Xenopus tropicalis: one gene and its partner. The protein of the gene in region 1 purifies or fractionates together with the protein of each later gene. This does not show direct contact. Links are inferred from orthologs where the notes say so. Each region holds a gene or a part of one and is shown in the gene's direction. Other genes may lie near its edges. The genes, in order: ap1m1 and atg9a.

The links.
Region 2: the proteins of ap1m1 (region 1) and atg9a purify together in Homo sapiens (affinity purification with western blotting, with the first as the bait; 3 studies listed by BioGRID). This does not show direct contact. The link is inferred for Xenopus tropicalis from reciprocal best matches to the Homo sapiens genes AP1M1 and ATG9A.

The regions. Positions count from the first base shown.
Region 1 is NC_030677.2:98,837,820-98,842,305, forward strand, and holds the start of ap1m1 (AP-1 complex subunit mu-1), read left to right. Parts: upstream 1-1,632; 5' UTR 1,633-1,865; coding exon 1,866-1,907; intron 1,908-4,486. UniProt on the Homo sapiens protein: Subunit of clathrin-associated adaptor protein complex 1 that plays a role in protein sorting in the trans-Golgi network (TGN) and endosomes.
Region 2 is NC_030685.2:83,969,166-83,973,560, forward strand, and holds the start of atg9a (autophagy-related protein 9A), read left to right. Parts: upstream 1-1,369; 5' UTR 1,370-1,500; exon of another isoform or gene 1,501-1,510; intron 1,511-3,391; exon of another isoform or gene 3,392-3,394; 5' UTR 3,395-3,512; intron 3,513-4,395. Other genes in the region: ankzf1 (ankyrin repeat and zinc finger domain-containing protein 1), read right to left, coding at 1,143-1,150. UniProt on the Homo sapiens protein: Phospholipid scramblase involved in autophagy by mediating autophagosomal membrane expansion. Cycles between the preautophagosomal structure/phagophore assembly site (PAS) and the cytoplasmic vesicle pool and supplies membrane for the growing autophagosome.

The DNA.
Region 1 (4,486 bases):
ACCTGGTTCTCTGAATTCTTCCAGAAAAGAGGTGCTAAGTGCTAAAGCTATAATGCCAGGATGTCTGTTACATCTCTGGGTCCAGGAGTTGAATAGCACATGCAAGCTGACAAACTTGCATGCACCAACTACTGGAGTAGAGAGGGCGTGGTTCTTTGAAAGTTTGGAAACCTACATGGAGACAGTCAACTTAGATTTAGCTGGGGTGTGATTTCAGTTGCTCCTTGATGCTTGAGACCACAATGTACTGCTTAGAAGGGTCTCATCAGTCAGCCCTGCAGGAACTCATGTGGAGGACAAAGAGAGTGCTATCTTTATCTATTAGCTTTTGCTCTCCCATTTACTCTGTGCAAATTCTTCCAAAGAAAGTCACCTTGGCAGCCCTTTCTGGATTCTTCTGCTTTTCTGTGGCAATAAACTTGATTTTTCTCTTTTCCCTGACCCCATCACAGAGTTTTATTTTAACCGATCATAATAAAAAACACAATAATGAAAAGGTAGAAAAGAGTTAATGCTTTGCTTTGCAGAATGGTCTCAGGAACCACTCACCAGGACCCACTGGGACAACTCCCTCTACCATGGCAGGCCAGTCCCACACTGTATATGGCAGGGTTTTAGGAGAGTTTTATGAACATGTATTAGCTAAGACTGACCACAGCAGCACAGATAATAAATACCAGGGCCGGAACTAGGGGTAGGCGGAAGAGGCACCTGTCTAGGGCAGGTACTTCTGTTGCCAACCCTTAGTCCGGGATCTCTTACCCCCACAGTGGATTTCCTGGTAGAGGGGGAAGTGGTGGGGCAAGGTGGCTGGCCAGGTCGCCTATGGGCCACCTCTGATAAATACACTCCAGCTAAAACCAAGACCTGCTAGTAAATAATAATTATGTGAATTATTATGTTTATACAACAGCAATAATCTGTTTGACAAATCAAATGCATATATATGTACATTTATTTATACAGTGCTACAGTATATACAGAGCATATACATTTGTAAAGGATGGGAAGTGTACAATGAGAAATAAACATTTTAATAAATAAAACATACACAGTGACAAACATGAGTCAGTAAACCCTCTTCTTTAAATGAACAGGGCTTGTGCTGAACATACTTTGTATCTTTATTTTTAATTATGTAAAGTCTATGTGGTTTTTTATATATCTTGGGGTAAACAGAGAAACAGAAGCTACTCCATGTTTGGTTCATGCCAGGTAGATAATTTCATTACCAGTATTCAACCCCCTCCCTCGCCCATTGTGTTTTATTCGCAGGAGTCCATCATGCAGGGGAATAATCTGTACATGGGCAATCAAATTATCTCCTTCATGGAACAGAATCAGTTTCCCTGTTTTTGCTGTGTCTTCTCAAGAATGAACAAAAAAACAGATTTTTCATATCATACCAACATGCAAAAAGTACGTTCAGCGCAAGCTTTACTACAAAGGCTTCCTTCCATAAAAGCCAAATGTAGTAGAACGTCCGTGCAATCTGATTCGCGTGAATCAATATGGCCAAGAATAAATAGTAACGCAAGGAATTGTTTCAATCTGTCAGCCGTAAAACAATTAATGGCCTTTCTATAAGACGTCTCACACATTTTTTGTGTGGAGACATGTTTAGACCGTTCACAAATATCGACTATGGAAGGACCCGCTTTTTGACTAAATCCGCCATCTTAGTAAGGGAATGTTAAGTCTCTATGACAGGGCTAACCGGAAGTTACATTGCGTTTCCTCTCTGAGCGGACCGCTATCGAGGTGGATAACGGGGATGGTATTGTGAGAGGACTGAGGATAACGAAGCTTTGGGCTAGTGGGCAGCAGCTTGGCTTGCCTTTGCAGGACTATCTTCGGCCGTAAGGATGTCGGCTAGCGCAGTATATGTGCTAGACCTGAAAGGGAAGGTGAGCGTTCGGATAATGAATGCGGGCAGGGCTGGTCACCAAGAGCGGGGCTGGCAGGGCCATGTTGTAGTGTTAGGGTGCCGAATAGAACGTTTCTGATCTGTATGAGCAAGGCGGATGAAATGAAGCAATATTAGGACAATACAGCATTATTTCTTTGAATATGACAGATTGTGTATGTGTTTCATCATTGAAGGTCGCTGAATTCGATTGTAGCTAGCCAGGCCCTTCTCAGAGTGGCATGATTTCTCTTCCGATTAGATGCATGTCTGACCAAACCTTATAAATGTGGTATTCGTATTGTACATCGCCACCACCCAATACGTTCCACTCCCTGTATGAGATGCTCTGCCTGCTGCTCGTTTGGCCGGCAGCTGCCACTTCTATGTTACTGAGCCGGAGTTAATAACACTGTGTGAGCGCAGCAGCAGGTGCCCCTGTGTGCGATTTACTTGTGTGCCAAACCTTACCTACATGTGAAAGGACTGTGTGAAGGTCAGAAGCTAAGGATTGCCTGAAATGTTACTCATTAGTGAAATAGCCATGGGATCTGTCTGAGCAGTTTTTATTATAAATCAGTAGTACAGAAAACCCTGGCACAGATCTGTTCATTAAATATCTATGTGTACATCACTATCACTTCCTCAGATCATTGGTTTTCAGACATTTTAAGCTTAACAAGAGCCTCGTGGGGATCCAGATCCAGATATAGGAAAAAATTATCAGTCGCACAGCCATAGTGTAGGAGAGCAACTCTTACCCCAAGTGGCCTTAAAGATTGGCTTTCTGCTGTACCTATGACAGAAAGTAGCATTCTCCCTAGATCTTACCTGATTTATGTTTATCTAACTACTTTGTGTCTGTGAAACACATCCCTGCAATACTCCAGGTTCAGCATTTTGGGTTAAGCATTTTTATCACTCAACATATTTTTCTCTTGGTTATTATTAACCAAATCCAAGCTGTTAGGGTAAACTCCAGGAGTGCTTATGATCAGTTTTTGTGGGTCAGATTCTGTCTGACTTAACAGCACAAGAGTTTGTTGGATCTTACAAAATCTGATCTCCATCAGTTCTAATTTAATTTTGGATCAGATATAGTGAAGTTTAGCCCGTAGAGCACAAAAAAGTAAAAAAAATGATGGGGGGAGGTGCCTAGACATTCCCAGAAATTACAACCTATAACCTTGGATCCAAAGACTACTTTATATCCACATTTGCTGTGTTTCATCTAAATGGTACTGGGACCTGTTTGAACAGATTTATTTTTTAGAAAATGGATTAAAGCTTGTTGTGGTTTTTTGAACAGGACTGACAGGAATGTGTTCTATAAATCCACAGTTTACATATTTATTGCCTACCTTTTTCAAATGTTTTATTTTTGTTTATTATAAACCACTTAAAAATACTTGTATATGCTATCTTTCTGTTATGGATGGTACACTGATATTTGTATTATACAAATAACTGCAACTGGGTTTGTCTTAAAGGAGAAGGAAAGGCTAATAAAGAGTTAATCTCAAGCTGCAGGCATACCTTCAGTTCTCTCAATAGTGCCCCTAAGTCTCCCCATATTTCACCTGTTCAGATGATCAGAAGCTAAACAGGAAGAAAAAACACTGAGCTGTGTAAAGTTCCCATAATGCCTCACTCCTGCACAGACACCCAGACCAAGTGAACATGCTCAGTTAGTAAGACTATGAGTCAGCTTCCTGTTGATTGGCTCAGATCCACATTCCTAAGGGGGGGGTGAGTTCTTAGCATTCTTGAGGGAGGAGGGGAGCAGGGGAGCAGCAGAGAGGAGAGAGCTGAAAGCTGTGTGTCTCTGGCAGAGGAAAACAGACACAGCTAATCTTTTTACAGATAAGTCAGTATAGTGTTTCTGTGAGTGTTTATTGCTGTATTTACATAGACATTTCTGATAAAGCTTCTGGTAAACCTTTTTTTCTGTCTTAAAATGACTCTAAACAACCCCCAGAATAACTTACCTTAGTCCCTGCATTCAGTCTGATCTGGTTTCTGATTTATAAGTTGAAATCTCCAGCTCTTTTCCTCTTCTTCCTGGTACAGCATGAAGCCCTGCCTCTCTTCCTGTTCAGCTCTCTATAGTGGAAGAGGGCAGCTTTCTGGGAATGCACAGTAAGTCAGGCAAGTTATGTATGGGAACTGAAAAAAAACTGCTGCTGCACACTGGCTTCTGCTTCTCTGTACATTCCCAGAAAGCTTCTTCTATGTCAGGCTTACTACTTCTTTAAATGAGTAGGTCACGTTTAAATGACCCTTTCATATGATGCAGTGATGTTCTAAGATAATTTGCTGAGTGCCTTTATTTTTATTTTTTGGTCAAGCAGCTTTCCAGATAGGAATTACAGCAGCTGTCTGTTTGTTAGGTTCTAGTTTACCCTAACAACCAGGCAATGATTTCAGTAAGAGACCTGAAGATGAATAGTTAAGGGCCCGAAGAGAAAGATAAGTAATAAAAAGTAACTAAAATTGTAGACTCACAGGGGATGTTGCAGTAAATGACCCTATTTTAAGCTGGAAAGAGGCAGGAAATATAGGCAAATAATAAAAAAAACT
Region 2 (4,395 bases), on another chromosome or scaffold:
TGTGCCACTGTGACAGAATGCTCTGTTATACAGATAGCTAGAATCTCAGCCATAAAGCAGGGCAGGACTGCTGCTTACAATGGGGGGATCAGATAGGATCTGTGCCACTGTGACAGAATGCTCTGTTATACAGATAGCTAGAATCTCAGCCATAAAGCAGGGCAGGACTGCTGCTTACAATGGGGGGATCAGATAGGATCTGTGCCACTGTGACAGAATGCTCTGTTATACAGATAGCTAGAATCTCAGCCATGAAGCAGGGCAGGACTGCTGCTTACAATGGAGGGATCAGATAGGATCTGTGCCACTGTGACAGAATGCTCTGTTATACAGATAGCTAGAATCTCAGCCATAAAGCAGGGCAGGACTGCTGCTTACAATGGGGGGATCAGATAGGATCTGTGCCACTGTGACAGAATGCTCTGTTATACAGATAGCTAGAATCTCAGCCATAAAGCAGGGCAGGACTGCTGCTTACAATGGGGGGATTAGATAGGATCTGTGCCACTGTGACAGAATGCTCTGTTATACAGATAGCTAGAATCTCAGCCATAAAGCAGGGCAGGGCTGCTGCTTACAATGGGGGGATCAGATAGGATCTGTGCCACTGTGACAGAATGCTCTGTTATACAGATAGCTAGAATCTCAGCCATAAAGCAGGGCAGGACTGCTGCTTACAATGGGGGGATCAGATAGGATCTGTGCCACTGTGACAGAATGCTCTGTTATACAGATAGCTAGAATCTCAGCCATAAAGCAGGGCAGGACTGCTGAATATAATGGCTCCCACACAGACTATTCAGCCCACACTCCCATTAGAGCAGCCCTGACTAGAGAATGACACATTAGATGTACCTGCCCTGTGTGCCCAACCATGTGGGGATGTCCCATAGTTACAGTAACTGACTAAGGGCCCCAAGTTGTTTCCCTAAACATCTGTTTAATGAGAGAATTTTTTCAATTGGCAGAAAATCGCTGAAAGTTATTTCACTGGAATAAGAAGAATACAGAAGAGAAAAGGCCAATACAGACAGTACCACAGCGCTTTCAAACCAATCCAATACCACTGACATGTGCCAACTATACCCCTCACGCATTACCCATGTGCCACACACATTGTCACTTATCAGTGCCAGTCTCACCCTTCCATGCTGCCCACACTTTGCTGACTTCTCACTCCACTTCCGCGTCTGTCGTCACTTCCCTCAGTTCTCCCTTCGACTTACAGCAACACTTGTTTCTCAACCTGACTCAAAACAAACCGCGGCTCCGCCCCGCCTCCCAGGCATCTGATTGGATGTCCAGTTGGCCGCTCCTCTTGCGATTCGCTCGAACACCGCCCAGTGGGCGGAACCTCTTTGCTGATTGGTTTATGCTCCTGTCAGGGCTCCTGAATGACTTGCCGTGGCTGCCGTGACTGGGCTAGAGGCGCGGCACTAAGGGTCGCTGTACCCCGGTAACCGAGACCGGACAAGAAACGTCACTTGCTGACACTGTCGGGTAAATAAAGGTTGGTGGGAAATAAGGGGAGAGTCTCGTATTGGTTCAGTGAGAGAGAAGGGTATGGCCCGGCTGGGCTGTATATGCTGTATTCACATATATATCTGTTATTGCTATAATACTGTGTGTGTGTGTGTGTGTGTGGTACATATACCTGTAGGGACCCATAGGGTTAAGTTACCTGTCACTCCAATCATAGATTCCTGGGGTGCTCTATATCCTACATTACATGGGCATATACCTGTCAGTAGCATAACAGACATCCATGGTTAGGTGATATATACATACTGTATTATAGGTACACAGGCTTGTTATTGAAATAATATATAGCCCTATGGTGCTGTATATACTATATTATATAGGTATGGGACCTGTTATCCAAAATGCTTGGGACCTGGGGTTTTCCAGATAAGGGATCTTTCTGTAATTTGGATCTCCATAACTTAAGTCTGCTAGAAATCATTTAAATGTTGAATAAACCCAATAGGGCTGTTCTGCCCCCAATAAGGGGTAATAATATCTTAGTTGGGATCAAGTACAGGTACTGTTTTATTATTACAGAGAAAAGGGAATCATTTAACCATTAAATAAACCCAATAGGGCTGTTCTGCCCCCAATAAGGGGTAATTATATCTTAGTTGGGATCAAGTACAGGTACTGTTTTATTATTACAGAGAAAAGGGAATCATTTAACCATTAAATAAACCCAATAGGGCTGTTCTGCCCCAATAAGGGGTAATTATATCTTAGTTGGGATCAAGTACAGGTACTGTTTTATTATTACAGAGAAAAGGGAATCATTTAACCATTAAATAAACCCAATAGGGCTGTTCTGCCCCCAATAAGGGGTAATTATATCTTAGTTGGGATCAAGTACAGGTACTGTTTTATTATTACAGAGAAAAGGGAATCATTTAACCATGAAATAAACCCAATAGGGCTGTTCTGCCCCCAATAAGGGGTAATTATATCTTAGTTGGGATCAAGTACAGGTACTGTTTTATTATTACAGAGAAAAGGGAATCATTTAACCATGAAATAAACCCAATAGGGCTGTTCTGCCCCAATAAGGGGTAATTATATCTTAGTTGGGATCAAGTACAGGTACTGTTTTATTATTACAGAGAAAAGGGAATCATTTAACCATTAAATAAACCCAATAGGGCTGTTCTGCCCCCAATAAGGGGTAATTATATCTTAGTTGGGATCAAGTACAGATACTGTTTTATTATTACAGAGAAAAGGGAATCATTTAACCATTAAATAAACCCAATAGGGCTGTTCTGCCCCCAATAAGGGGTAATTATATCTTAGTTGGGATCAAATACAGGTACTGTTTTATTATTACAGAGAAAAAGGAAATAATTTTAAAAAATTAGAATTATTTGCTTATAATGGAGTCTATGGGAGATGGCCATTCCGTAATTCAGAACTTTCTGGATAACGGGTTTCCGGATAAGGGATCCCATACCTGTATATAAATATACCTGTCAGTAGAATAATAGACATCCATTAGGTGCTATGCATACTATATTATATGTACACATGCTTTTTATTGAAATAATATAGAGCCCTATTGTGCTATATATACTATATTATATGTACTTATGCCTGTCACTAGAGTAGTACAAACCAATTAGGTGCCATATATATATATTATATGTACATATACCAATAGAATAATGTCAGTCCCTATGGTGCTGCTTATAATAAATGATGCACCTTAATATATTAATAATAAAATAAACAAATGTGAGAGTTCTGTTACACACACCCGTATATTTCTATATATAAATGCATGTATGTGAAACTGACGAGCAGACAAAGGTTAATCTGTTGTTTCAGTGTTTGCAGTGGCCTTGTGTAACCGTTGCTTTCGTTTTCTCCCCAGCAGAGAAGCCACGGCTGAGAGAGGTGCAGCCACTCAGGGTGATATAATAAAGAGAGTAATATGAGAAGCAGGGCTGTTAGAGAGCAGCGGTGAAGGTTCCAGACAGGCCGATCACCTTATGGTGAGTATTAATGGTCAGAGGGTGCCCTGCCTGCCCCGTCCAACTCCCAGCACAACCCCCTGCCTGCCCCATCCAACTCCCAGCACAACCCCCTGCCTGCCCCGTCCAACTCCCAGCACAACCCCCTGCCTGCCCCGTCCAACTCCCAGCACAACCCCCTGCCTGCCCCGTCCAACTCCCAGCACAACCCCCTGCCTGCCCCGTCCAACTCCCAGCACAACCCCCTGCCTGCCCCGTCCAACTCCCAGCACAACCCCCTGCCTGCCCCGTCCAACTCCCAGCACACCCCCTGCCTGCCCCGTCCAACTCCCAGCACACCCCCCTGCCTGCCCCGTCCAACTCCCAGCACAACCCCCTGCCTACCCCATTCAACTCCCAGCACAACCCCCTGCCTGCCCCGTCCAACTCCCAGCACAACCCCCTGCCTACCCTGTCCAACTCCCAGCACACCCCCCTGCCTACCCCGTCCAACTCCCAGCACAACCCCCTGCCTACCCTGTCCAACTCCCAGCACAACCCCCTGCCTACCCCGTCCAACTCCCAGCACAACCCCCTGCCTACCCCGTCCAACTCCCAGCACAACCCCCTGCCTACCCCATTCAACTCCCAGCACAACCCCCTGCCTGCCCCGTCCAACTCCCACCCCCAGGATTTGGAACAACTGCTGGGGCTGCTGCTGGCGGAGCAGGACCATGTGGGTGGTTAAGACAGTAGAACATAACGACAGTTTACAAATTCAGCATTGGAAAAAATGAGCGGGATGGAAGTTAACTAAAGTATTGTATTCCTGGTTCTAAGAGACACTTCAGTTTTGCTTTCACTTTCATATAATCCCCTGTATAAATGAATGTAGATCTAGAACAGCTCTATTATGTGAATGCAT